Alligator mississippiensis: one gene and its partners. The protein of the gene in region 1 interacts with the protein of each later gene in a biochemical or structural test. Links are inferred from orthologs where the notes say so. Each region holds a gene or a part of one and is shown in the gene's direction. Other genes may lie near its edges.

Evidence for each region.
Region 2: the proteins of TMED10 (region 1) and COPG1 form a complex in vitro, tested with the Homo sapiens proteins (2 studies listed by BioGRID). The link is inferred for Alligator mississippiensis from reciprocal best matches to the Homo sapiens genes TMED10 and COPG1.
Region 3: the proteins of TMED10 (region 1) and COPZ1 form a complex in vitro, tested with the Homo sapiens proteins (2 studies listed by BioGRID, with this or other methods). The link is inferred for Alligator mississippiensis from reciprocal best matches to the Homo sapiens genes TMED10 and COPZ1.

The regions. Positions count from the first base shown.
Region 1 is NC_081825.1:261,331,738-261,339,458, reverse strand, and holds the start of TMED10 (transmembrane emp24 domain-containing protein 10), read left to right. Parts: upstream 1-4,716; 5' UTR 4,717-4,731; coding exon 4,732-5,031; intron 5,032-7,721. UniProt on the Homo sapiens protein: Cargo receptor involved in protein vesicular trafficking and quality control in the endoplasmic reticulum (ER) and Golgi.
Region 2 is NC_081835.1:19,921,502-19,929,542, reverse strand, and holds the start of COPG1 (coatomer subunit gamma-1), read left to right. Parts: upstream 1-4,976; 5' UTR 4,977-5,083; coding exon 5,084-5,120; intron 5,121-8,041. UniProt on the Homo sapiens protein: The coatomer is a cytosolic protein complex that binds to dilysine motifs and reversibly associates with Golgi non-clathrin-coated vesicles, which further mediate biosynthetic protein transport from the ER, via the Golgi up to the trans Golgi network.
Region 3 is NC_081838.1:7,959,293-7,967,258, reverse strand, and holds the start of COPZ1 (coatomer subunit zeta-1), read left to right. Parts: upstream 1-4,901; 5' UTR 4,902-4,969; coding exon 4,970-4,987; intron 4,988-6,768; coding exon 6,769-6,837; intron 6,838-7,143; coding exon 7,144-7,225; intron 7,226-7,411; coding exon 7,412-7,503; intron 7,504-7,843; coding exon 7,844-7,899; intron 7,900-7,966. UniProt on the Homo sapiens protein: The coatomer is a cytosolic protein complex that binds to dilysine motifs and reversibly associates with Golgi non-clathrin-coated vesicles, which further mediate biosynthetic protein transport from the ER, via the Golgi up to the trans Golgi network.

The DNA.
Region 1 (7,721 bases):
TGGACGCAGGCATTGCGGTGGACGTAGTCTTTCTGGACTTTAGAAAAGCCTTCAACACTGTATCTCACCCCATTCTCATTAACAAATTAGGCAACTGTGGTGTCGATCCCTACACGGTCAGATGGGTTGCCAATTGGCTGGAGGGCTGTACCTAGAGTGGTGGTGGATGGGTCTTTTTCGACCTGGAAGGATGTGGGCAGTGGGGTTCCGCAGGGCTCAGTCCTCAGACCTGCACTGTTCAACATCTTCATCAGCGACTTGGACGAGGGGGTGAATAGCACCTTGTTCAAATTCGCAGATGACACTAAGATGTGGGGGGAGGTGGGCACGCTAGAGGGGAGGGACAAGCTGCTATCAGATCTGAACAGGTTACAGACATGGGCGGATGAGGATAGGATGGGTTTCAACACTGACAAGTGCAAGGTACTGCACCTGGATAGGAAGAACCAACAGCATACCTACAGGCTGGGTAACTCCCCTCTCGCCAGCACAGAGGCAGAAAAGGATCTTGGAGTCATTATTGACTCAAAGATGAACATGGGCTGCCAATGTGGGGATGCAGTCAGAAAGGCACCTTGTCATGCATCCATAGATGCATCACGAGCAGGTCCGAGGAGGTGATCCTCCCCCTCTATGTGACCTTGGTCAGGCGCCAGTTGGAGTACTGCATCCAGTTCTGGGCGCCACACTTCAGGAGGGATGTGGACAACATTGAGAGGGTCCAGGGGAGGGCCACTCACATGGTCGGGGGTCAGCAGGGCAGGTCCTATGAGGATAGGCTGTGGGATCGGAACCTGTTCAGCCTCCACAAGAGGAGGCTGAGAGGGGATCTGGTGGCCATCTATAAACTGGCCAAGGGAGACCAGCAGGCAATGGGAGAGTCCCTGTTCCCCTGAGCACTACCGGGAGTAACAAGGAACAACGGCCATAAGCTGACAGAGAGCAGATTCAGCCTGGATATCAGGAGGCACTACTTCACAGTCAGGGTGGCTAGGATCTGGAACCAACTTCCAAGGGAAGTAAGTGATCCTCGCTCCTACCCTGGGGGTCTTTAAGAGGAGGCTAGATAGACACTTTGCCGGGGTCGTCTGACCCCAGCATTCTTTCCTGCCCATGGCAGGGGGCCGGACTTGATGATCCGCTCAGGTCCCTTCTGACCCTACTAACTATGAAACTACAATCCAGCCTGTCCAAAAGACAATCAGGAATTTATTAGAGTTCTTTTGCATTCATTTGTCTGTATTTGCTATTGTAGGTTTCAGTCTTAGATATCTTATCTTTGCTAGCCCTATTATACCTGGGCTCTGTTCTTGCATTTCTCAGTGGGCGCATCTAGACATGCTATTACGACGCACAAATAAACTGTGGAGTTTATTGCTCTGCAGATTATTGCTTCTGGGCACGCTGTTTGAACATACCAGGAGCAATTAATTCTGGAGCAATTAACTTGGGAGCAATAAACTTTGCAGTTTATTCATGCGCAGTATGTGGAGCCAGACCAGAGCAGTTCCAGTTGGCAGGGAGCCCTGGGGGTCAACCTGCCAGCATGGCACAACTTGCTCAGTCCCCATGGCTCAACTTGCTGTAGGAGGGCTGGCTGGAGCACGAGGGTGCTTCAGTCGGCAGGCAGCCCCTGCATTGAAGAACCCTCATCTCCCAGTCAGCCCCTGTAGTATCTACGTGTGCACTGCTGTTGATTGTTTTACTCTACAGTAGGATAGTATTTGTATTTACACGTACTGTCCTGCTGTGGAGTAAATTAAGCTACTGCAGCCTAATGAGGTGCATGTGTAGATGGTAGACATTTACTGCACAGCTAATAAGTCAACTGCACAATGAATGTCTTATGTAGATGTGCCCAGTTGGATTGTTTAGCATTCCCATCCTCATGGAAGGGTAAATCCAGAAATGTAGTTGGGGCGGGGGGGGGAATACATTCCTGAAGCACTTGCATAATGCACAACCTCCTAAATGAGAAGCAAGGTAGCAGGATACAATAGGATAGTTGCTTTAGGGTGAGCTAATTAGCCACCCTGCCAGGATGTATGAAGGGTTTACTGTTTCTCATTTGTGAGGTAGCACATCTGCTGCTGGAAACATTTTTTCAGGCTTGGCTGCTGCCCTATTAGCTTGCTTGTTGTCACTATGCTCCCTCCCTAGTATTATAACGTGATGTCCTTTTAAGAGAATCTCACTCACCATATGCAGTGACTTTTTTATGGTCCCAATATGATTTTGAGATTGAAGGTGCTTCTTGGCCTTCTCCCCCTGGCTGCTCTCTCAAACTTCCATAATATTAAGTCACACTGCGTTTCCTGAGTTTGTCAAATTTTTGTCTAAAAAATGGGTAGTACTTAAGTTACAGTTACTTCCAATGCTTCTTCCTCCTGAGCCATGCTTTTATGCTTTACATGCTCTTTACATGCTCTTTTAAAGCAGATACACATTGATGTCCTCACCAGGCCTGCACTTTACATCTAACCAATCTTTTTGTGAATTAATAACTATTTTCTGAAGCTTAAGCAGTGGCTTATACATAGTTTCTTAAGACTGCTTTGCAATTCGGCATAGTCTATTTTGTTTCCTGCCCATAATATTAATAAAATTGCTACAGAAAATAATCATCACCATTTCTTTTACAATCTGAACATAGTTCTGTATTTTGGAAGCATGTGCCACTGGTGATCATGCATCAAGACATAATCAAGCCATCAGTGGTGTAAGTACAGGGGGAGTGACAGGGGCAACCATCCTGGGTGCTAGCAGACGTGAAGCAAAAAAGAGCAGCTGCTGCCAGCAGCCCCAGGTTCACATTCAGGACCACAGCAGCAACCAGAAGTTGCTGCTTCTGTTTTGCTCTGGGTGCCTGGCCACATCCCTGCATTGCTGCAAGCCATGTGCGCTTGCATCAACCATAGTCATAGGCTCTTTGCCAATTTCAAGAAAACTTCCACAGATGGAGAAACCACAATTTCTCTAGGTAGCCTGTTCCAGTGCTTGACCACCTTTATAGTCAGAAAGTTCCTCCTAAATATCCTGTTGCAACTTGAGGCCATTGCTCCAGGTCCTGTCTTCTGTAGCTACAGAGAAAAGCCCATCTGCATCCTCTGTAATCGCCCTTCAGGTATTTGAAGACTAATGAAAGCCCCACTCAGTCTTCTCTGACTAAACCACCCTATTTCTTTCAGCCTTTCCTCGTAAGTCTTGCCTCCTAGGCCCCAGTCATTCTTGCTCTGCTCTGGGCTCATTAAAATCTGCCCCTGACATTTTTGAAGTATGGGGCCCAGAACTGGACATGGTAGGCTGGGGGAGGAGGGGCCTTGCCAGGGCTGAACAGAGTGGAAGAATCACTTCGGTGGGCACACACTTCTCACAAGACAACCACTCTTTCTCCAGTCTCTCAGTTCTAATCCTCAAAGGCAGTTTACAAAACACCTTTCATAGACAAGCCTACAACTTCACTTCATAAATCTATTGGATACAAAAAATCACAGACTAAATATAGACATTGGATTGACAGCACATTATAACCTGCCTGCCATCTGACAACCCCAGGCAATCAGTCTGCATTTTATCAGCTACATTCTGTCACCAGTTCAACATTCCCCCTTCCTTCCCTGCCCCACCTGTCTCACACCTATTGTCTCCCATTCCCTCTGAACCTCACCGCCACACATTTGCATCTTTACAGACCAGCATTTTACATACTGGCTTCTGTTCTACCCAGGAAAGCATATAAAACAACACTGGACTCTCCTTATATCTGAAGAAGGGTGTTTGTGCCCGAAAGTTTGCAAAGAACAATTTTTCCAACTATTTAGTTGGTCTAATAAAAGATATCACATCTAGCTGAAGAACCGTCTGCCGTGCCTGAAGCCAGTGAGCTTCATACCACCAAAGCCTGTGCTACAGAGCTAGCTAGCTAGTAGAACTAGATAGACAGACAGACACGCGTGCACACACACTTAGTTAGGTAGACACTGTCTCTCTCAGGTTAGCCTGTAAGGTACCAGTCTTCCTGCCTGCTTCTTGACTTCAGCCTAACAAAGCCAGCTCTGTCCCACCTCCCCCAGGTCAGGTCAAATGAGTAAATGTCTCCCTCCCCTCCAGCTCTTCAGAGCCAACATGATGCTCCTCAGGAGCATCCTGCACAGATGCATGGCAGGACAGGGTCCCGAGGCCCTCCTGCCCTAAGCAGGGGCTGAACTAGAGGTCCTTGTGAGGCCCCTGTCAGCTCTGCTCCTCTGTGCCTCAGCATGGGGCAGCCTGGGGAGAGAGTGGCTGGGATAGCTGCTAGGGGAAGGTTCCTGCCTAGAGTTGGCAAGCAGTAGGCTTGGCAAGTCAATCAGTTGACTCTATATTTTTGAGAGGGTCAAAGATGATAGCAAATTTACAAAAAACCCTATTTCTTTGTAGTTTTCTTGACAGAAATATGATGTATTGTTTTTGACACATTCCTTCATGGAAAACTTGTGCTTTTCCTATGTATTATTTGGACCCTTTGGCAATTTTTTACAATGTTTGACTGCTCAATTGACCAAACTTTATTTGACGAACCCAATCCCCACCCCTCCCCAGCAGCGAAGAGGCACGTGGCAGCGCCCCGGTCCCAAGGCTGGAACAGGCCGCGCCGCTGCGGCACAAGGACACGCTACGGCTGCGCGCGCCTACGAGGCCGCGCGCCACTGACCATTCTACTACCGCCCCACAGCAGGGCACGCGCGGCGCAGGATGACGCGGCCCCACGCCCGCCCCGCCCCCGGTGACGCACCACGCAGGCGGTGGCGGGTCACGTGCGGCGCGCGGACGTGCGGCCTGTGGCATCCGGAGCGCCGTGCCGCCGCCATGTTGCCGCTGCCTCCGTTGTTGTTGCTGCTGCTGGCGGGCCCCGCGCGGCCCATCTCCTTCCAGCTGCCGGGCAAGGCGCGCAAGTGCCTGCGCGAGGAGATCCACCGCGACACGCTGGTCACGGGAGAGTACGAGATCGGCGCCCCGCCCGGCTCCTCCGCTGGCCCCGCCGCTAACCTCAAGGTGCCGCCGCGGGCCGGGGGGGGGGCCAGGGGGCCGAGCCCGCCGCAGAGCCTGGACCGCGGCCTACACGTGGCACCGGGGGAGGGGCCCCACGTGGCGGCGCCGGCGCTTGGGGCAGCTCCGCTGCCGCAGCAGCGCCCCCCGCCGGCCCCGCCCATGCAGCTGCTGTGTTACGGTGGGGAGACCCCCATCGTCTGCGCTAGGCGGCAGCCCTGGGCGGCCCCGGGTCCTGGGCGGCTGCACACGCCCTTCCGGTGCCCGTGAGCCCCGCTGGGAGGGCGGGGCGCTGATGGGGTGGCAGAGCTCCGCTTGCTACCTGGGGGTGCTCTGGTGCCCGGGGTGAGCCCCCGAACTCCCTGCCTGGCGCCTCCTGGCTCTGTGCTGCTCCCCGTTCCTGCTCCTGGTACCAAGCACCTGCAGGGATCTCCTGTAGTGCTGCCTCCTTCTGTGGGATTGGTGCTGTAGACAGCCATGAGGTGCTGAGTAAGCAACAAGTTTGAATTTAAAAGCTGTCTTCTCTTGCCCGTGTGCAGCCGCCCCGGTGGAGCAGTGGCCTGCTGCGTGTCTTGCTGCCCTGCTCTGCTGTTTGAGTGCTGTGTGCAGGCTATGTGTTGGCTCTGCCCTAGGAGTGCTGGCTTTTGCCAATGCTTTTTAATGCAGTTCCTTTGCCATTGTGTACTTGGATGCAGAAGGGCGAGGCCAGAGCAGGATGTCTTCAGGTGGCACCTTTTCTTTGGCACCGGAAGTCAGAGTGATGCGGCAAGCTCCCCCTGGTTAGCTATGAACCTGTAGGAGGCTGGGAGTTGATATCGATTGTACTTGGGATGGTTCTTATTGATGAACAGAGTCCTGAGGGTTTGTGAAATCCCAATATGAACAGTGGCACCCTCTGTGCGTGAAGGCTGCTAAGTGCGCCAGCTGGCTGCAGAGTCTAGGCTCTTGGGTGGATGACGTTCCCCATGGCCCCGGTCACGTGCAGCTGTCTCATTGTTCAATTCCCCACACTCCCAGCGTGATGTGTTGTTTGTCAAGCGAGAACAATGCTGTGTCTGTGGGGGGGAGCAGTGTTACTGTAAATAACGCTAGGATATCATGAAGAAACTCTTTCAGGCTGGCTTCTCCCCCACAGAAGTGTTGATTGGGCTTTGTGCAGCTATCCTCTCTCCCATATGCTCGGTTTAACAGATAATGTGTTTGGCTGAGTCTGAGTAATGGGCCCAGTTGATGGGAACAGACAGCAGAGGTGTTATTGTCTGAACTGTGGTTTATGGGTAGTCTGCTGCTAGTGCTGGGGAGAGAACCCAGTCTGGGTTCTGGGGGAGAAATGAGTTAGTCCCAGGAACAGCACAGCCTCGTTTATGCAGAGAGGTATTTAACTGTGTTAATCTGAGGCCAGGCAGAAGGCTTGGCAGAGTTGTATTTTAGAGACTACCTAATTCAGGGATGTGTAAATTTTCATAATCAACAGCTTACTTTGTGAGATGTTTTTGTGGCATCACATGAAGTGAGCTGGTGCTTGTGAAATATTATGCATCTCTGAATTGGTTCGTTTATATGGTGCAACTCTACCCTGCTTTTCTGCTTGTTTCTGTAGAGAGAGCGGCAGGGGTTCCTCCAGCCCCAGAACACAGCAGACAGGGCCCAGCTAACCTTAGAGCAGCAGCGCCCCATGTAGAAGAGACCATTTCAAGTCAGTCCTACTTCTTGCCCACCAGCAGTCGATCTCTTGGATTGATGCCCTGTTGTGCAGACCGTACAGCATCACCCTGAATTAGCTTTGGTGAGTCAAGGTGGTACTGTGACTGGTCTCCAGGGCTGGTGAGCCGGAAGGCTGAACTCTGCCTAGGCAGAGGCCCATCTAGTACCAGATGGTCCAGAGCAGTGGTTCTCTGCAAATGGGTCCTGGTAAAATAGGTTAACATTGATGACCAGTCCTGACCCAATAAATAGTTTAAGTAGAAAACAGCCCTCTGGCCCTGCCGGTGCCCCTCACTCCCAACCCCAACTCCTGGGGGGTGGGGCATGGGGTGCCCCAAACAGCCCCTTGCAAGCTGGAACTCTGCTGGGGAAAAGCCATGGTTTCCCATGTTTTTTTCTATTTTAAATCCATTTTTAAAGTTGGTTGATCCATTTTTAAAGTTTGTTCGCGACCCTTTCATATATTCTTGCAACTCATTTCTGGGTCAAGAAATGCTGGTCCAGAGGAAGGAGCAAGAAGTGCTACAGAGCAAGTTTCTCCCTAATCTCCTGTCGGTTTATGGTTTGTTCCCTGATGTAGGAGGGTTTATCTATCGCCCTTGTTTTTATCCTGGCTGACGTGGCAGTTCTATCAATCGTGTTAAATAGCTGAATCTTTTTTGCTGAATCCTACAAAGTTCTGGGCTCCAGTGGTCTTTTGTAGGAGTTAATTAGATGCTCTGATGATAAATAAGGAGAGTGTTTCTTTTCACAAGTGTTTAAACGTGCTGCCTTTCCATTTTATTGTTTGCCTTTTTGCTTTGCTATTGTGAGCAGGGGTTGGGGGAGGGTTGATAGGATTGCCTGACTTAGCTTTTCTATGTCTTCATTATGTTGAATACCTCTGTCTTACTTTCATACCTCCCCTCTAAACTTGTCCCAAATCTTTCATCTGTTCTCATGAAAGACTTTCCAGACCTTTTCTCATTTCAACACCCCTTTCATTTCTGCTG
Region 2 (8,041 bases), on another chromosome or scaffold:
ACTCTGGGATTCTCTGTAGCGTAATGCAGCCCCTGTGATGTAACCAGTGCACTTGTTCCTGAGTTGTGGCCCGTGGTTCAGAAAGCGCCTGCTGGTGGTTCACTGAGAACTGGCTGTTCGTAGGGTGCTGACTCCTACCTCTTTGGATCTAGCTCCTTGTAGACAGGTGCCAACTCCTTTTCCTTCAGAAAAGGTTAGTTGCCTGGAAAAAAAACCCAACTGGAAACAAACAGGGGCAGTCACTTCTCATCTTTTTCCTCAGTTTTCCCCTCTGTAGAAGGGGAACAATTATGGCACCCCTTCCCCTCAAAAGTATATAAAGTGCTCTACAGACAAAAGCCCTATCCTGTACCTGCCAGACATGCTTAATGTGCCAGGTAGAGAGGCTTTTATTTAGTCTCCGTTCAGAAACATTTTTGCTGTAGTCAGTGCCTAAATGAAAGGATCTAAGAACTCACCTTTAATTATGTACATACCTGCAATGGCCTTTGGCAGGGCTGGGCTGAGCTTGCTTGCACTTCATCTGTCTGTATCCAGAGGAAGGATGGTCTGGGAGGGACAACTCTGCACTGAAATTCAGCAGCTCCGGAGATCTATTTTGATTTCTCCTACAGATTTCCTGGTAGAGTTGAGAAGGGCTCATAACCCCTTTCTTTGTGTCTCAGTTTCCATTTCTGTAAAATGGAGATAAAGATAGTTCCTACTTCACAGGTGTTGGGAGGATAATGATCAATAATGGGTCGGGTATGGAAAAGTCAGGGAACAAGCAAGCAGAGAGGAGGGCCTGGGAATCCACGGTACCTTCTGTCTGCATATTCTGGAGCCACTTTCAAGTCCAAACAGCCCCAGGGGCTTCTGTCAGACTAATGTGGGAAGTGGGAGAGGCACCAGAGTTGCTGTGTGACACAGAACAAGCAAAAAATGAGATAAATGCTGCTCCCGTCTCCTGACCCAGTCGACAGCCAACATTTTACAGATCCCTGGCCCCCAACCCCTGGCTGGCAGGTAGCTTGGGGGCCCCTAGCAAGAAACTATTTCTTGACAGTTTTGTTTTAACGAAAGGAAGTTGATCTTTAAGGAGAATGTTTCCCTGTGCTTTGGACAGAAAATGAAACAACTCTGGGGATAATACAGAAAGCAAAATTGACAGGTGAGGTTTACAGGAAATTGAGACAGGTTAAGAGCTAATGGACAGGAACAATGGATATTTGTCTCAGCAATCTCTGGGACCCTGGGAAAAGAAACACAAGTCAATTAGGCCTGGCTCTTCCCTTTATGTCGGCGTAGCTCTGTTGTTGCAGTAGAACAATACCTCCTGCTTACAACATTATGGGATCAGACATGACCTCTGGATTTCTCTCTAGACAGGTTTCCCTCCGGCTGCAGGGACAACTGTCTCTTTGTGACTCAGGCTACCAAATCTGGCACTTCACCCAATACACTGTACTGCTGTATATTTTTAAATATGCCAGTTTCCAGACATTTGAAATACAAGGTCTTAAATGTGTTTCCTTCTTGCTATCTCTATGCATCTCTCTTTATAAAAAAAAGATGTTCATTCTCCTGTATAAGAGAGTTTATATTTATCACACTGAAGAATTTAGGAGAGAGTGCAAAGAAAGATGGGATATGTAAAATAAAAGGAGTCTTATCAAACACTTCTGTTGTCTGTATAACCATTCGACTAGTATGTCACATCTGACTGCATCATCATAACCTGGTAGGACCCTGTCCCCCAAGGTAGCATGCATCTCTATCGTTGGGGACCAGACAATAGATGAGCCCAGAAATAAGTGAAGCTGCAGCAAGTTGCTCCTTCCTTCTATTGGCATTTTGTCTCCTGAATAGGGTAGTAACCAAGCCAGGGGTTGATAGAAGTGTACCATGCTGGCAGTGTGCAAGTCATTTGGGAGTAAGGTGGCAAGTAAGAGGCAAAGTCACCCCTGCGGTTGTCAACTGACTGAAGAGTAAAATTATCTCTTGTGAGGTCCTTCTGGACCAAGAGTGAAGTGGAGACAATGTGGGTCAGGAACTGCTGTGATGATAGCAGGCCGCAAGGAGAGCAGTTCCCATCTAGCAGGATGTAATTGTGCAAAGCCCTTGAACAACTGCTTTGGAGCTGACCCAGGTATAGCAGTGACAATCTCTGGCAACAAGCCATGTTCAAATCCTCCTTGACCAAATTCAATGGTGTGTATAGGGAATAAAGAGAAAGCAGAGTCATTCGGCAATAGAAATAGGAGCCAAATTAAACCTGGTTCATGGAAAGCAGTGAAATGGCACCAGTTTATGTCAGTCAAGTATTTGACCTCCCCCCACTTGCTCCACATGTCTTATTTGGGTCTCCAACCAGGGTTTTAGCAGAAACAACGCTCTTGCCAGCCATGAATGCAACTGTGTGTAAATGTGAAACGTCACATTTCACCGCTGGACCCTGACTCCCACGTCTTTGGTGAGCCTTTGAGATAACAGCAGAGAGCAGGGACCAGCCACCAGGTACAAAGTCCACTGCCTGTTTGCACAGGACAGGTAAAGGACTGGCTGGAAGGAGAAGCCCTCCTCAGCCCAGCTGCAGCTGTTTCTGGACACTGCCATGTTCTTTGATGACTACTTGATCACTGGTAAGTACGCTTCTCCTTACAGATCCTTGCAGTAGGTGCTAGCAGCAAAGTTACAGTATCTGGCAAGATGTTTCTTAAGAAGGGCTCCTGTGCACTTTGTGATTCAGAGGGTCAGGCAGGTAAGATAAATTGGTGCAGCGCCTGGAGGTTTCAGCAACAGGTGCTAACTCTACCAATAAACAGTGCTAGGGGTGAGTAGTAACAGCTAGGCTTCCTTTTGCCAACACTTAGACTCCTAGGTGCCATGATTTTTCCAGAGAATGATGACATTCCCCACAATGCGGCTTCTGTACAGTCTGACCTCTCCGTCCAGAGAGGATGGAGGACATGCAGCCAGTGCCATGACCCACTCGGATGTCCCATCTCACTTGCTGAGCAGAGCTGGACTGGATCTGAACTGGGAGAGTCCTTGGGTGTTCACTCACAGGTGGGGCTATAGCAATCCTCAGCGATTATAGTGGTAGGTAACACCTTTCAGTCTGAATCAGCGCTGAACAGCCTGGTAGCATGACGCTAGGCGGAGCTGTGCTCCATTGCTGGAAGTGTCGGCTTTCAGATGAGATGTAAAATGTAAGCCCTGCCTTCCTTTAGTCATTATGGGAGGTGCACAGCCGTGTCCTGGCTGAATTTCACTGAATTAATTCCAGGTTTCCCTAAATGCCCCTGCATTTTTAAGTAGTGTTGGAGTGATGCTGTAGCTGTGATGGTCCAGGCAGTTGGTCCAATAAAAGATAGCACCCTCAGAAACCCTTGGTCCTGCATTTTTTAATGGGATTTTGTGTCCATTCTCATTCCCAAACCATTGTTAGTGAAATGTTCAATGGATGCCACATCCCACACAGGCACACAAGAGAGGGGAATGGACTGAGACAGAGGCAGCCAAGGGTGTTGAGGACTCATAGTGCTAAATTACTCTGGCCCCTGCCACACGTTACATTTCAAGCATGATTAACCAGTTAATCACATCTTAAGTTGTAACCTGGCCACACGTTCAATCATTCAGTGATATGATACATAAGGAATAAGGCACCAAATTATTCCACAAAACACATGTAGTAAGTTTGTGTCTGGTTCCTATCACACCATTAATGGAAGATGTAGCCAGGTGCACCCCTGGGGCTGGGAGCACTATCAGCTGAGAGGGCTCCCAGCTGCAGGTGCTTACCACTGGCTGCTGCTCTGGGCAGAAAAGACAACTGGGGTCAAATAACACCAGCAAGGTGTGTGTCCAGTCTCCTTTTGAAGACCTCCAGAGTAGGTGCCTGCACCACCCCTGCTGGGAGTCCGTTCCAGAGTCTGCTCACGCAAACTGTATTTGTATGATAATTTTAACCCTTGTACAACAGATAATACTGAAAGTGTTCAAAATGTACAATAATTTTTTCACATCATTATATTTGGGGGAAAAAAACCAAGTAAGTCACTCCACCGACAATCTGAGCTGAACTAGTTTATTTAATCCTATGATCTCACCCGTTCTCACTCGCATTGAATTGGAATTTGAGAAGGAATAAAGTGAGTCATATCTGCCATTTATCTTTAACTGGAGATTTAAACAGTGAGCAATAGAAAGTAGCTGCATAACAAACACATCGCTAAATCCCATTGTGTAATAATACTAAGAGCTTTATTTTAAATACTATGTAACATCTTAAATTGATTGGAAGTCAAAGGGGTTCTGCGCCTGCCTCGCTTGCAAATTCCAGGCACGTACCTAATACAGCCTGCTGCAAAATAAAGCGTACAAGATTTACAAGACGCAGCCCCGAGCCGCGAAACAGAGACAAGAACAATCGCAGTAATAAATTCAGTTTAACCCGCAGTTGGAGAAAGACTTAAACCAAAACCTCCTGGCCAAGTCTTTGGGGAGAGGAGGTCTCTTTTATTAGACCAACTAAATAGTTGCAAAAAAAGGCTGAGCGGGCAGTGCCAAGCAGGGGGGCGCAGCCTGCGATGACACCAGCAGAAGCGACCACATAACATGACGTCACTTTAAAAAGTCTTATGTGCACACTTTTTGTTTCAGTGCATGACAGTTTTTCAGAAAATACGGGAATTGACCTTCCAATTTCATATTTAAAACCCGCTCCCTGCCCCAGACCACAAACCAGCCTCGTCCCGACCCAGCGCCAGCGCCGGACACCGCCCCGCGCATGCGCAACCGGCTGCCTCCCTCTCGGGTCGCAGCCCTGGGTTGGGCCGTGCCCCGCCTACCACCTAGCACCACCTTCCGCATAGCGCATGCGCAGCCCCCTCCTTTCGCCCGGCCACGTCGAGGTGAGTGACGGCTCCGGGCGCCTTGCGCGTGCGCACATGCGCGAGACGGGCGGGCTGAGGTGTCCCAGTGACAGCCTGGCAGGAAGTGGCGTGCGGGCAGGAAGTGGCGCCGCTGCTGGGCTCGCGACCCTCTGCCCCCCGTGCCGGGCTTTGCGTTCCACGCGCCCCCCACCCCCTGCGCCAGGATGCTGAAGAAGTTCGATAAGAAGGACGAGGAGTCGGGTGAGGCGCGGCCGCAGGACGCCCCCTGGTGGTGGGGATGGGCGGGGCAGGGGCACCTGCCCATGCAAGGACAGCAGGGCCAGGGCTTTCTGCAGTGGGGCAGGGGCAGGGGCTGCGGTGATGCTGGGCTGGCATCTGCAGGTACCGGGCCACACCGGTGCCCCTCTGCTGTCGTCCTGGTGCCCTGCTGGAGGTACCACCGGGCTGCACTGCTGCCCCATCCCCTGCCAGGTGCAGTGCCAGGGCTGGCGACACAGCCTGCCCCAGGTGCTGATCCTGCCCAGGGTTCGTACGTTCTCTGCACGTGGAACCTGACCTCGGCCATCCGTGTCCAGGGGTGTTTCCACCTCTGCAAGGACAGGCTGGCTGGCTCCACGGGGCCAGGCCAACCTGGAAATGCTCAGCAACAGGGGGTGCTACCGTGGTATATCGTGGAGGACAGGGGCGAGGGTTGGAGTGATAACGAGGGATTGGAGGGGGGCGCGGAGCGGGGGACATCAGCTGGTGCCCACTGCTCCTCAAACGCATCCAGGGCTATGTGGTGTGCATTGGGAATGCGGGCTAATGCCCACCATGTAAAGCTACAAGCCCCCCTTTAATATGGGGTGCCACAAAGTGCACATGACATTATTGCTGGGGACACCTAAAGAAGAAAATGGGGACAGGAGTGAAGATCAGAGGTTTAAAAGGGGCACACCATGGAGGGACACAGAGCAGAGCACGCTGGCCAGCACCCACTGGCTCACCACCAAGTCCAAGGAGCCAGTGAAACTCTGCCTGGAGACGTGAACACAAAGGCAGGACAGGAAAGCAGCCCTTGAATGCATCTAGGGAGCCTGCAAATGCTGCCCAGTAAAACTGCCTGGAGATATGCGTGGAGGAAGAAGATCTGCCCACAGGTCCCCAGGTTGGCTCCACCCTGGGTGTCCTTCCAAGTCTGGTAGATGACAAGCTTGGCCAGAGCCAAGTGGAGGTTGCCCAGCAGACCTGCCAGGAAGGGATTTCCTTGGACTTGATGACCCCAGAGGTCCCTTCCAGCTCTTCTCTATGATTTCTATTTTGATGCATGTCAGACCTGTTGATATAGGTTTGGGCCTTCTCTGAGCCTGTTTCTCCTTCAGCTCAGTACTTCCTAACGATCCTAATGATTTTGTGCTTTTGGGGGTGGGACTAGTTTTTTGGGCTCTCTCTCCAGGGACTCTATATAATGGCACCTAAGACACATGTCAGGGCCTCTCATGGTCTGTGCAAATGTCAGAGAGGCTGTTAAGGAGGCTGATTGAAGATGCGATTGGTCCTTTGTGTTGTGGCTTTGGCACTCTGTCCACCTCAGTGTACTTCACCCTGCTTCCTACAAGCTTTTATTTACTGTATCCACCCGGCCTGCACATCTTGGAGACCCTCCAAGTCCACGTGAATATTTTTGCTCTGGTTCTTGGTGCTTGTTTGCATTAGGCTTTTCCATGTTAAATGAAGTTTCCTCTCTCCGAGCTACATGCACAACAAAAAGCTAATCCACAGAGGATTTCTTTCAGTCTTGAACTCTTGCCAAGTTCAGGTTTAAGTGATGTAGCGTGTCCCTTAGCTTACTGACCTCACAGATTAGTCTAGTACATCCAATCGTAAAAGGACAGAGAAGATCATTTTGTGGGTAAAACCTGGTAGTCAGGGGACCAGAGATCTTTTCCAGTTCTTCCACATCCTTCTTATGCAGCCTGGGCAAGCCATGTAAGGGCAATTTCAAAAGTGGCCCCAACTTCTGAGTGTCCAGTGCAAGGCATGTAGCAGTGCTGAGCATTCCCAACACCCCGCGGAGGTCAGCGGAAGCATGTCCACAAACCAGTACTCAATTAGAGGTCATTTTGGTAACTGTAGCCCATAACTTATGTGCCTTGGTTTTCCCCATCTCTGAAATGGGGATAATTATTTGGGTTGCAGGATGCTTTAGTAGTTAAGTCAACACAGATAAAATGCCTTAAGATGCTTAGGTGCAAGGAGTTGGAGAAGGGTCAAGCAATTGATGATGGTTAGTAATATTAATGACAGGTTTGAGAATTACAAATATTAGAAGCCAAAGTGATCCTTGGGTTGCAGGAGTGAGCAGAGTTAGGGGCACTGGATGCTGTTAAGCCTTCCCTGCTAGGTGAGCTTATTCAACCCGCTTTTGGAGTACGTACATCTACAAACACTGGCATTCATCGCTCCTCTCTTGTCGTCTCCCTTCTCTCTTCATCTGCACATTTAAGCTTTGTTCAGCCACATGTTGTGTTGGTGAATGGATCCCAAGGTGGAGGGGTATCTCTTGCCTACATGAAAGGAACCAGTGCCTTTAAGTATAGATCTGAGTCTCACACAGACTGCTTCTCCCTTATACAATTCTTCAGGGCCAGATCATAACAGGGCATTACATGTCAGGGACTATACTGAATGCAGGCAGCACCAGTGTTGAGCGAGGGTGGCTTTGGGTCATGTTGGGTCCACATGGCAAATTGAGTTTAGGCACTAATGAAAATTGCTTATCAATAACTGCCAACTCAGGCAAGGCTGAAACTCGCTGATACGTCCAAGAAGGGCAGATAATGGATGCTACACATAATTGTAGTTCTTGCCCTGTGAGCGTTCCAGCTCTAATTGTTGATGTTTTTCATCAAGTAGCGTTTGGTCTGTTAAATAGGATGATTAAAGAGACTCTATTTCCAGGCTGTCCAGTCCACTGCCTTGTTCGCTTTAATTAACTGTAGATCTGAAAAAATAGCTTATTGATGGATTCCGCTGATTGCATGATGGAGCAGAGTCTAACACAGTCCTGATTTACCGGGGGGATGGGGAGGTAGAGCTTTGTGGGTTTATGGCTATGTTGGATTGATTTCCGAGCCTGATTGGTTTTGCTGCTATCACTGGAAGTGCTGTCAGCCCTGGGG
Region 3 (7,966 bases), on another chromosome or scaffold:
CAGTACGGGGTCTAGGAAACACGGGACAGGGTGCAGTGCCTGTGCGGAGGCACATGCTTGCACATGGATGCAGGCTTGCACATGCACACGCCAGCCTGCCCACAATGGGACAGAGTCACCTCTGGGCTAGGAGGGGCCCAGAATGTGGTGCCTTTGCCAGCCTGGGTGCGTGTGCATGCGTGTGCATGCATGTGCATGAGCATGCACACGTATTGTGCCTATAAACAAGTGTGTGTGTGTGTGTGTGTGTGTGTGTGTGCAAACTCTGCCTGCCACAACCCCCCTCCCCTCCAGCAAGAGCCAACCCCTGATACCCCCAGAGTCGGTGGTGTGCAAGACCTGTGACCAGCACCCCCTCCCCCTGGCACACACGCACCTGCTGCCCCACGCCCCCACCCCTGCCCTGGACTCCTGGGTTCCCAGCACCCGGTGTCCCCCAGACATGCCTGGAGAGCCCCAGCCAGACCTCTCTGCACCCCGGGAGCTGAGGGGAGGGGGGCAGGGAATGGACCCAGGTGCCCGGGGGGTTGATCTGGGGCCACAACTGGAGGTGGGGGGCCTGGAGCAGCCCCTGCGCCCCGCCACCCAGCCCACGGCTCTCAGGTTCCCACACCTGCCACAGCATCGGGCAGAACAAAGTCCCCATTGAGAAGCCACAGGTCTTACCTGCTGGGGTCCCGGGGACGTGGGCACGAAGCCTGGGGGCTCAGGGCACCCCCATGGCGCAGGCGGCAGGGCCGTGGCCGTGGCAGCTGTGGCTCTGTGCCGGCCCCAGGCGGGCGGCGGTTACATAAGCCGGGGCCGCAGCCCGACGCCTCCCCTGCTTGTGGCCACACAGGCACCGGCAGCCACCCCCCTCCACCCTCCCGGCCCTACGGTGGAGGCCTCACAGCAGGGAAACGTGAGCCTGAGGGACACGCATGCCCATGCACATGACACATGATGGGCGACACACGCACGACACTTCCCCTGTGCACACACACACGGAGCACACAGTGCCCTGCGTGCACCCATGAACAGCAATGTGCGCTGCACTCGGTCAGACCCCCACAGACATGCGCACACCACACATGGGGCCACACACGTGTGCATAGGCACACAGCAACACGCACACGGGGACACTGCAACATGACGCACGGGGCCACGTGCACACGGAACAACACATGCAATGCACACTGAGGTATCTCCTTCACATGTACTCACACACATGCGTGTGCTTACTGACATGCTCTGAGCCCAGGGGGGTCAGGCCCAACACACAACGTACGTGGATGTGCACGCACGCCTGGTGCATAGCCACGCACGCCTGCTCTGGAAGGCATGTGTGACGGCACAACACAGACTCACACAAGGAGCCCCCGACAATATGGGGACGTGTGTGTGACAAGGGGACATCCGCAGAAGCGCTGCACCAATGTGCAACACACACACGCACACAGACAGGGCTCCACGCAGCGATCCACAGACACTAAAGCAGTGACATGTGTGCACACACACGTGCAAACATGCACACACATGGCACCAAGCTGGCTCCGAGACTCCTGGGCCAACTGTAGCACAAAGCTAAGTGTGTCTCCCCCCCGCCCATTGCCCCCCAGGGACTCCCCAGATCACACGTGTGTGTGTGCACATGTGTACACTGAACAGGCTGCTTGTGTGCGCCCCGGGGGCAGCATCTGGGGGTGGGGGGGTATAAGGCAGGCACTGGAGACTGCGCCGTTTATGGGAGGATCCCAAATTGGCCCCACCCCCACTGTGGGAGCCAGCCAACGAGCAGGGAAACTGAGGCATGGAGAGGGGACAGGCCAGGCCCAGGTCACGGCAGGGGACCAAGAAAGAAAACCCAGGCACCCCGGCTCCCAGCCCTACCCAGGACACCCTGCTCGCCTTTCAGAGCTGAATGCAGAACCCAGGAGTCGAGGACGGTGGTGGCCCAGTCCTGGCCCAGCCTGCTCCGTGCCTCAGTTTCTCCATGGAGGGGGGAAGGGTGGAGGCTGGCAGGGTCATGGCTTGGCACTGCCCCTCCAGCCACCCCCTGGCCCAGATTCTGGGCCTCTTGGTGCTCATGAGCATGGGCACTTGCATGCCCAGCACACTGCAGAGCTGGGGTGGAAGCCAGGCGTCCTGGCTTTGAAGAAGGGACCCCGAAGCTGGCCAGGAGGAGACCTGGGGCAGGTGGGGCCACGCCACGGCCCTTTCCCCACTCCTGCCAGCAGCAACAAAAGCCCCTTTATGGGCCTTAAAGGTACAGGCCCAGCCCCGAGTTGTGCCAGGAACACAAGCTGGAAGCAGGGTGGGCACATGCCTATGACACATCACACATGGGGAACCTGGCCTGGAGCACACCAGGAACGCCAGGGCCGCACACACCTGTAACATGCCACTCCCAGGTTACTGGCTCCTCGTGCACCCACAGCACACGCGACACGGGAGTGCAGCTCAGAACGTACGTGGGCACGTCAGGGCCGCACTCGTCTGCAACACACACCACACACTTAGCATGTGCGTGTCCCACGCTCCGCCTGTCTCCCGCCGGGCAAACCGGGGGTAAATCTGTGCCAGTCAACTGCAGGGGGGCACAAAACACACTAGTGGCACGTGGCCACATGTCCGCAGCTCTGGCTACGGGACCACACTGAGCTGCAACAAGACCCAGCCCCGTGCTCTGACTTATGCTGGCACTGAGAGCACATACGTATTGCATGCGCAGGCCACGCATGTGGCAGGCGACACGCGTGGGCACGGGCTCTCTTGTGCCCCCGGGGCTCCTGGGCCAGGCTCCAGCTGGTCGCCCCCCCGCCCCTTGCCCCTCGGCCGTTACTGCGGTTTCCCTCCCACCTCCGGCGTCTGGTGCCAGATGGACCATTTATAACCAGCACCCAGCGCCCCCCCGCCCGCCTGGCCATGCTGGGCCCTGGCAGGGCTGGAGGCAGGGGCTGAGCTGGGCCCCCGGCATTGCGAGCGCCCCTGGTGTTGTGTGTGGCGAAGCAGCCACCTGCCCACCTCAGAGGTGGCTGCGTTCCCAGGCCTGGGAGGCACCGATCCTGGCAGAGCTGCTCACCAGGGCACGGTGCGCGGAGGGCAGCTAGGCTGAGAGCAGAGCCCACTGTCCCGGAGCCAGGCTGTTACGGGGGGGAAGGAGGGGCTGGGCAGGCGGGGGCCGCCCGCTTATCAGCACCACGCAGCGGATCCGCCCAGCAGCTTCCTCTGCAACCGGCGGGGCCTCGGCCGCTTCCCCCGGCCCCAGCACTTCCCTGCCGAGGAACCCAGGCGTCCGGGCCCCCCCGCTCCTAACCCACTCAACCCCACTCCCTGCCCTGAGCTGGGGAAAGAAGCCAGCCCCACTGGGATAGGACCCAGGTGTCCTCCACCAAGTCCCTGCTCTACCCACTGGTCCCAGCTGCCCCCCCCAGACTCCGAGTTTCCCCCCTGGCTCGCGCCCACCCCCACAGGGTCCGGGGAGTCACACACGCGCGTGTGCACATGTGCTAGTGCCAGGTGGGGGGGCTCCAAGTGCCTCCAGATGCCTGGCAGCAGGCAGCAGATGGCAGCTCTGCCCAGGGGAGTGGGGTCACAGGGGGGCTGTTGCCCATCTACCCCCCATCCTGCCCCCTTGACTATGGCTCAGCCCAGGACGGGGCCAGGGTTGTGCAATGGGACATCCCTCCCCCCCCCCCCCCCCCGCATTGTGCAATGCAGAGGACTCGCCCCTGGAAGCCCCTCCTCCCCCGCCGCCCTGCCCCCATCCTGCCCCCACCTCGGCCTGGTGCAGCAACTTCCTCTTTCCAGGAATGTGGGTCTGCCCACGGGCATCTGCTGGCAGGCGCTGGGGCGGGCTCCGGGCAGGGGCTGGGGGGCTCTGGACAGTGTGGCCAGACCCGCCTGCCTGACCCACAAGTCGGAGGGCTGGGCTGCCCGGAGGGTGGGGGAGGGTGCAGGCCTGTGTGCATGCCCCCCTGTGCCCACGCGTGTCTCTGCGGGTGTATAACCAAGCGTGTGGGAGGGCACCTGTGTGCATGCGTATGGCAGCGCTCATGGATGCCTGTGTTTGCATGCAGGCAGCCCCCACCTCTTTGCCAGCAGCAGGAGCTGATCTGCCCATAACATGGGGGGGCAGCGGGTTGGCAGGCGTGTGAGCGGGCACGCATGTCTGAGTCTGGCATGAGTGTACATGTTGCACGTGCATGCCCATGCACAGGCGTGCACGTGCCAGGGGAGGAAAGCGGGCAGCCCGGCCCCTCCACAAGCCACAGGTGCTGGTTTGGGGGGAACATGAGTACCCGGGACAGGACACGCGTGTGCATGGCGTGTGCACGGGGTTGGGACACCTAGGTCCTGGGTCCTTCCCTGGCCCCAGCAGGGCGGGGGCAGCAGGGGACACGTCTATGCCAGAGGCAGGTCCCCCCGGATCCCAAGTCCTGAGAAGTGCTGAGTCCAGAGGTCAAGGGTCATAGGTCAACATCCCACCCCAGGATCATGACCCCAGAAAGGGCCACCAGTCAACTGCACCCCACGCTGGGGTCGTGACTCGGAGGTCAAAGGTCATAGGCCAACTCCAGCCGACCCCCGGGTCACAACCCCAATGGACCCGGCTACAGCCCACAGCCCTACTCCAGGCCAGCCGCACTTCCGGTCACGTGACGCGAGTCCTCCGCCAATCCCAGCCCAGGTCTTGCAAAGAAGATTATGTCATCGCTTCCCCAGTCGTCATAGGAACTGTCCCGCCCCTCGCGGGGAGGAGCGAGGCCCACGAGCGACAGTGGTGTCGCCCAATCCTCGTTGGGGTGGAGGGGTGGGGTCCGCCCATTCATTGAAGCGCAGCTCCCGGTTGGCTAGAAGGAGGAAGTGGGGTAGCCAGTGAACGGGGAGCGTGCGGACGGGGGCGGGGCGTAGAGCCGGGATTGGCAGGCGAGCAGCCAATGGCTTGCGGCCTGTGCTCCGGCTCCACGTCGGCAGCGGGGAGCGCAAGATGGAGGCGTTGGTGCTGGTAGGAGCGGGCTCGGCCGGGCCCTACCACCGCCGCGGGGGGGGCGGGCCGTACCATTGGGGCCGGGGTGGGCCTGCAGGACCTTACCACTGGGGGCAGGGAGGGGGGCAGTGGGCCTTGCCGTGGGGGAAAGCGGGGCTTGGGCCCTACAATTAGGGGCCAAGGAGGGGAGGATTGGGCCCTACCATTATGGGACATGGGGTGGGCTACCATTGGGGAGCAGGGAGGGGTAGCTGGGCCCTACCATTGGGAGGCAGGGGGGTCTGGGCTCTACTATTAGGGGATGGGGGGGTCTAGGCTCTACCATTGGGGGATGGGGGGAGCTGGGCCCTACCATTGTGGGGTAGAGGGATCTGGGTCCTATGGGGGGGGTAGTGCTGGGCCCTACCATTAGGAGCCAGGAGTAGGGCTGGGCCCTACCATTGGTGGATGGGGGGCTCTAAGCCCTACCATTGAAGGGGCAGGGGGGCTGGGCCCTACCATTGGGGGATGGGGGGGGGAGCTGGGCCCTACCATGGGGGGTCTGGGTCCTACCATTGGAGACGAGGTGGGGGCTGGGCCCTACCTTTAGGATACACTTAGTGGGACCCTGGTGCCGGGCGAGGCCCATGGGCATACCCCCCACCCCTATGTCAGTGCCCAGCGTAGCAAAGGCTGGGCCAGGGGGGGCGGGAGGGAGGGCAGGTTGCCGTTCACTCTGAATCCTACTGACACCTCGTGCCCTGCCGCACTGCTGACGGCTGCAGCTGCTCCTGGGCCCCGTCTCCCTCCCCCTGCAACCCGAATGGCCCGGAGCAAGCCCCGCCGGCTGCTCTGGGGTCCTGCCGGCGCCTGGTGCTGCACGGGGCGCTGTGTGCTGCAGAGCGGGCGGCCTGCTCCCGGTGCCCGGCTGCAGACGGACGGGCTGTCGGGGGTAGGGCTGGGGGTCCGAGCAGGGTGGGGGCCGGGGGGCTGCCCCGGGGGCGGCTGGTGGCCTTTGAGGCGGAGTTCTGTCATACACTCGGACTGTGCTACCTGGGGTCAGTGCATCACAGAACTTTGTCTCGAGCGCCCGGATCCGTCGGTGCCCCCGGGACCCCTGGCCCAGCCCCGGCGCCCACTGGTAGTCACCCCCGGCCCACCCTGCCCCAGGGGCCAGCACTTCAGTACACCCCCCCCCCGTGTGTGTGTTTTGCCTGGAGACCTGAGCAATGCGTGCAAGGGGGGGTTGATATTAAAGGGGACTGGGAGGGGGTGGGCAGGGGGTGACACTGCCCAGTGCAGGGCTTGGCATGGACCCACTGGCACTTGCCTCGTGTCACCCTCTGACAGCTGGTGCAGGGGTGGGGTCTGTGAAAGCCACCAGCATGGTGGGGGGGACAAATCCCCATGGGTCCCTATCCGTGCTGGGGCCAGCCAGGCATCCCATCAGGCTTTGCAGGGGGGCAGTGGGCTGGGCTGGGGGCAGCACCCACTGGCACCTCCCAGGCATCAGGTGTTGTGCCAAGCTCCATTGGGGAAGGGGGCTGGCAGCATGGGGCACCTACCCCAAGGGCTTGGTGGTGGGTGGAGCCCGGGCTTGGTTGCCTCTCGGCTCATAAGGGGGGGGGCACGTGGGACAGGTGGGTGAGAGCTGCCCTGGTGGCATCGGTGCCCTCTGTCTCTCCCCAGCGTGACGTGGCTGGTATGAGCCCCCCCGAGCCTAGTGCCGGGGCCTGGACCTGCCTGGGCAGCCCCAAGGAGATGGGGGGCACCCGCTGGGTGGGGGCAGGGCTGGCACTGATGGTGCCATGTCCCCACAGGACCCGTCGTTGTACACGGTGAAGGCCATCCTCATCCTGGACAACGACGGCGACCGGCTCTTTGCCAAGGTGAGCATGGGGCGGCTGTGCCAGGGACTGAGGGATGGTGCCCAAGGGTGGTGGAGGCTAGGGGCGCCTGTGCCGGGGAGGGACACGGGCTGCACCTAGGACCTGGCTCCTTTGCAGAGCAGAGGCTGCTGTGCCCACTTGGCGGAGGGAAGTTAAGTGCCCACGGCCTCCGCGGCAGCCCCAGCAATAGCGGGTGCTCCCGGCCCCTGGGCTCCGGCCCAAGGGCAGGTGCGGGGTGCTCCAGGGGGCCGGGCTGTGCTGGGTGGGTGCAGTGCCAGGCTGACGCCGGTGCCCCCTCTTCCCCAGTACTACGATGACACCTACCCCAGCGTCAAGGAGCAGAAGGCCTTTGAGAAGAACATCTTCAACAAGACCCACCGGACGGACAGTACGGCCTGGTGGGGGGGCACTGCCTCAAGGGTGGGATTGGGGCACTGGAGGGCACTGCCAAGCCTGGTGCCTGGCAGCAGAGGGGGTTGGGGGTGACCGGGGCCCCTGGCCTGGGCCCCACCCCCCAGGCCCAGTGCAGGGTGTCTACAAGCGGCATCTGACCCCGTTTTACCAACCCCCCCAGGCGAGATTGCGCTGCTCGAGGGCCTCACCGTGGTCTACAAGAGCAGCATAGACCTCTACTTCTATGTCATTGGCAGCTCCCACGAAAACGAGGTGAGGGCAGGGGGCGGGGCCTGGGGGCGGAGCTGGGCCAGGCAGGGGTGGGGCCTGGGGTGGGCATAGTACAGGGGCAACTATGTGGGGGACATGGAGGGGGGTCGGTCCTGGTGCTGCCCTGGTATTGGGCGTTGGACAGAGGAGGGCATCAGGGCTGGGGGGGCAACACGGGCCGGGTCTGGGTGTGGGGGCTGAGTGCGGGGCCCAACTTGGCCTGGCCTGGGGGTGGTTTCTGGGCAGGCTGGGGCGTTGTGGGGGGGCGAGCCCGCAGTCAGATGGGAGAGAGGGGGGTGTCCAGACAGTGCTGCCATGTGACCCATGTGTCTTGTGCCCACAGCTGATGCTCATGGCTGTACTGACCTGCCTCTTCGACTCGCTCAGCCAGATGCTGAGGTGGGATTCGGCAGTCCCTGGCAATGCCAGGCAGGGTGGGGGGTCCCTGACAGTGCCAGGTGGGGAC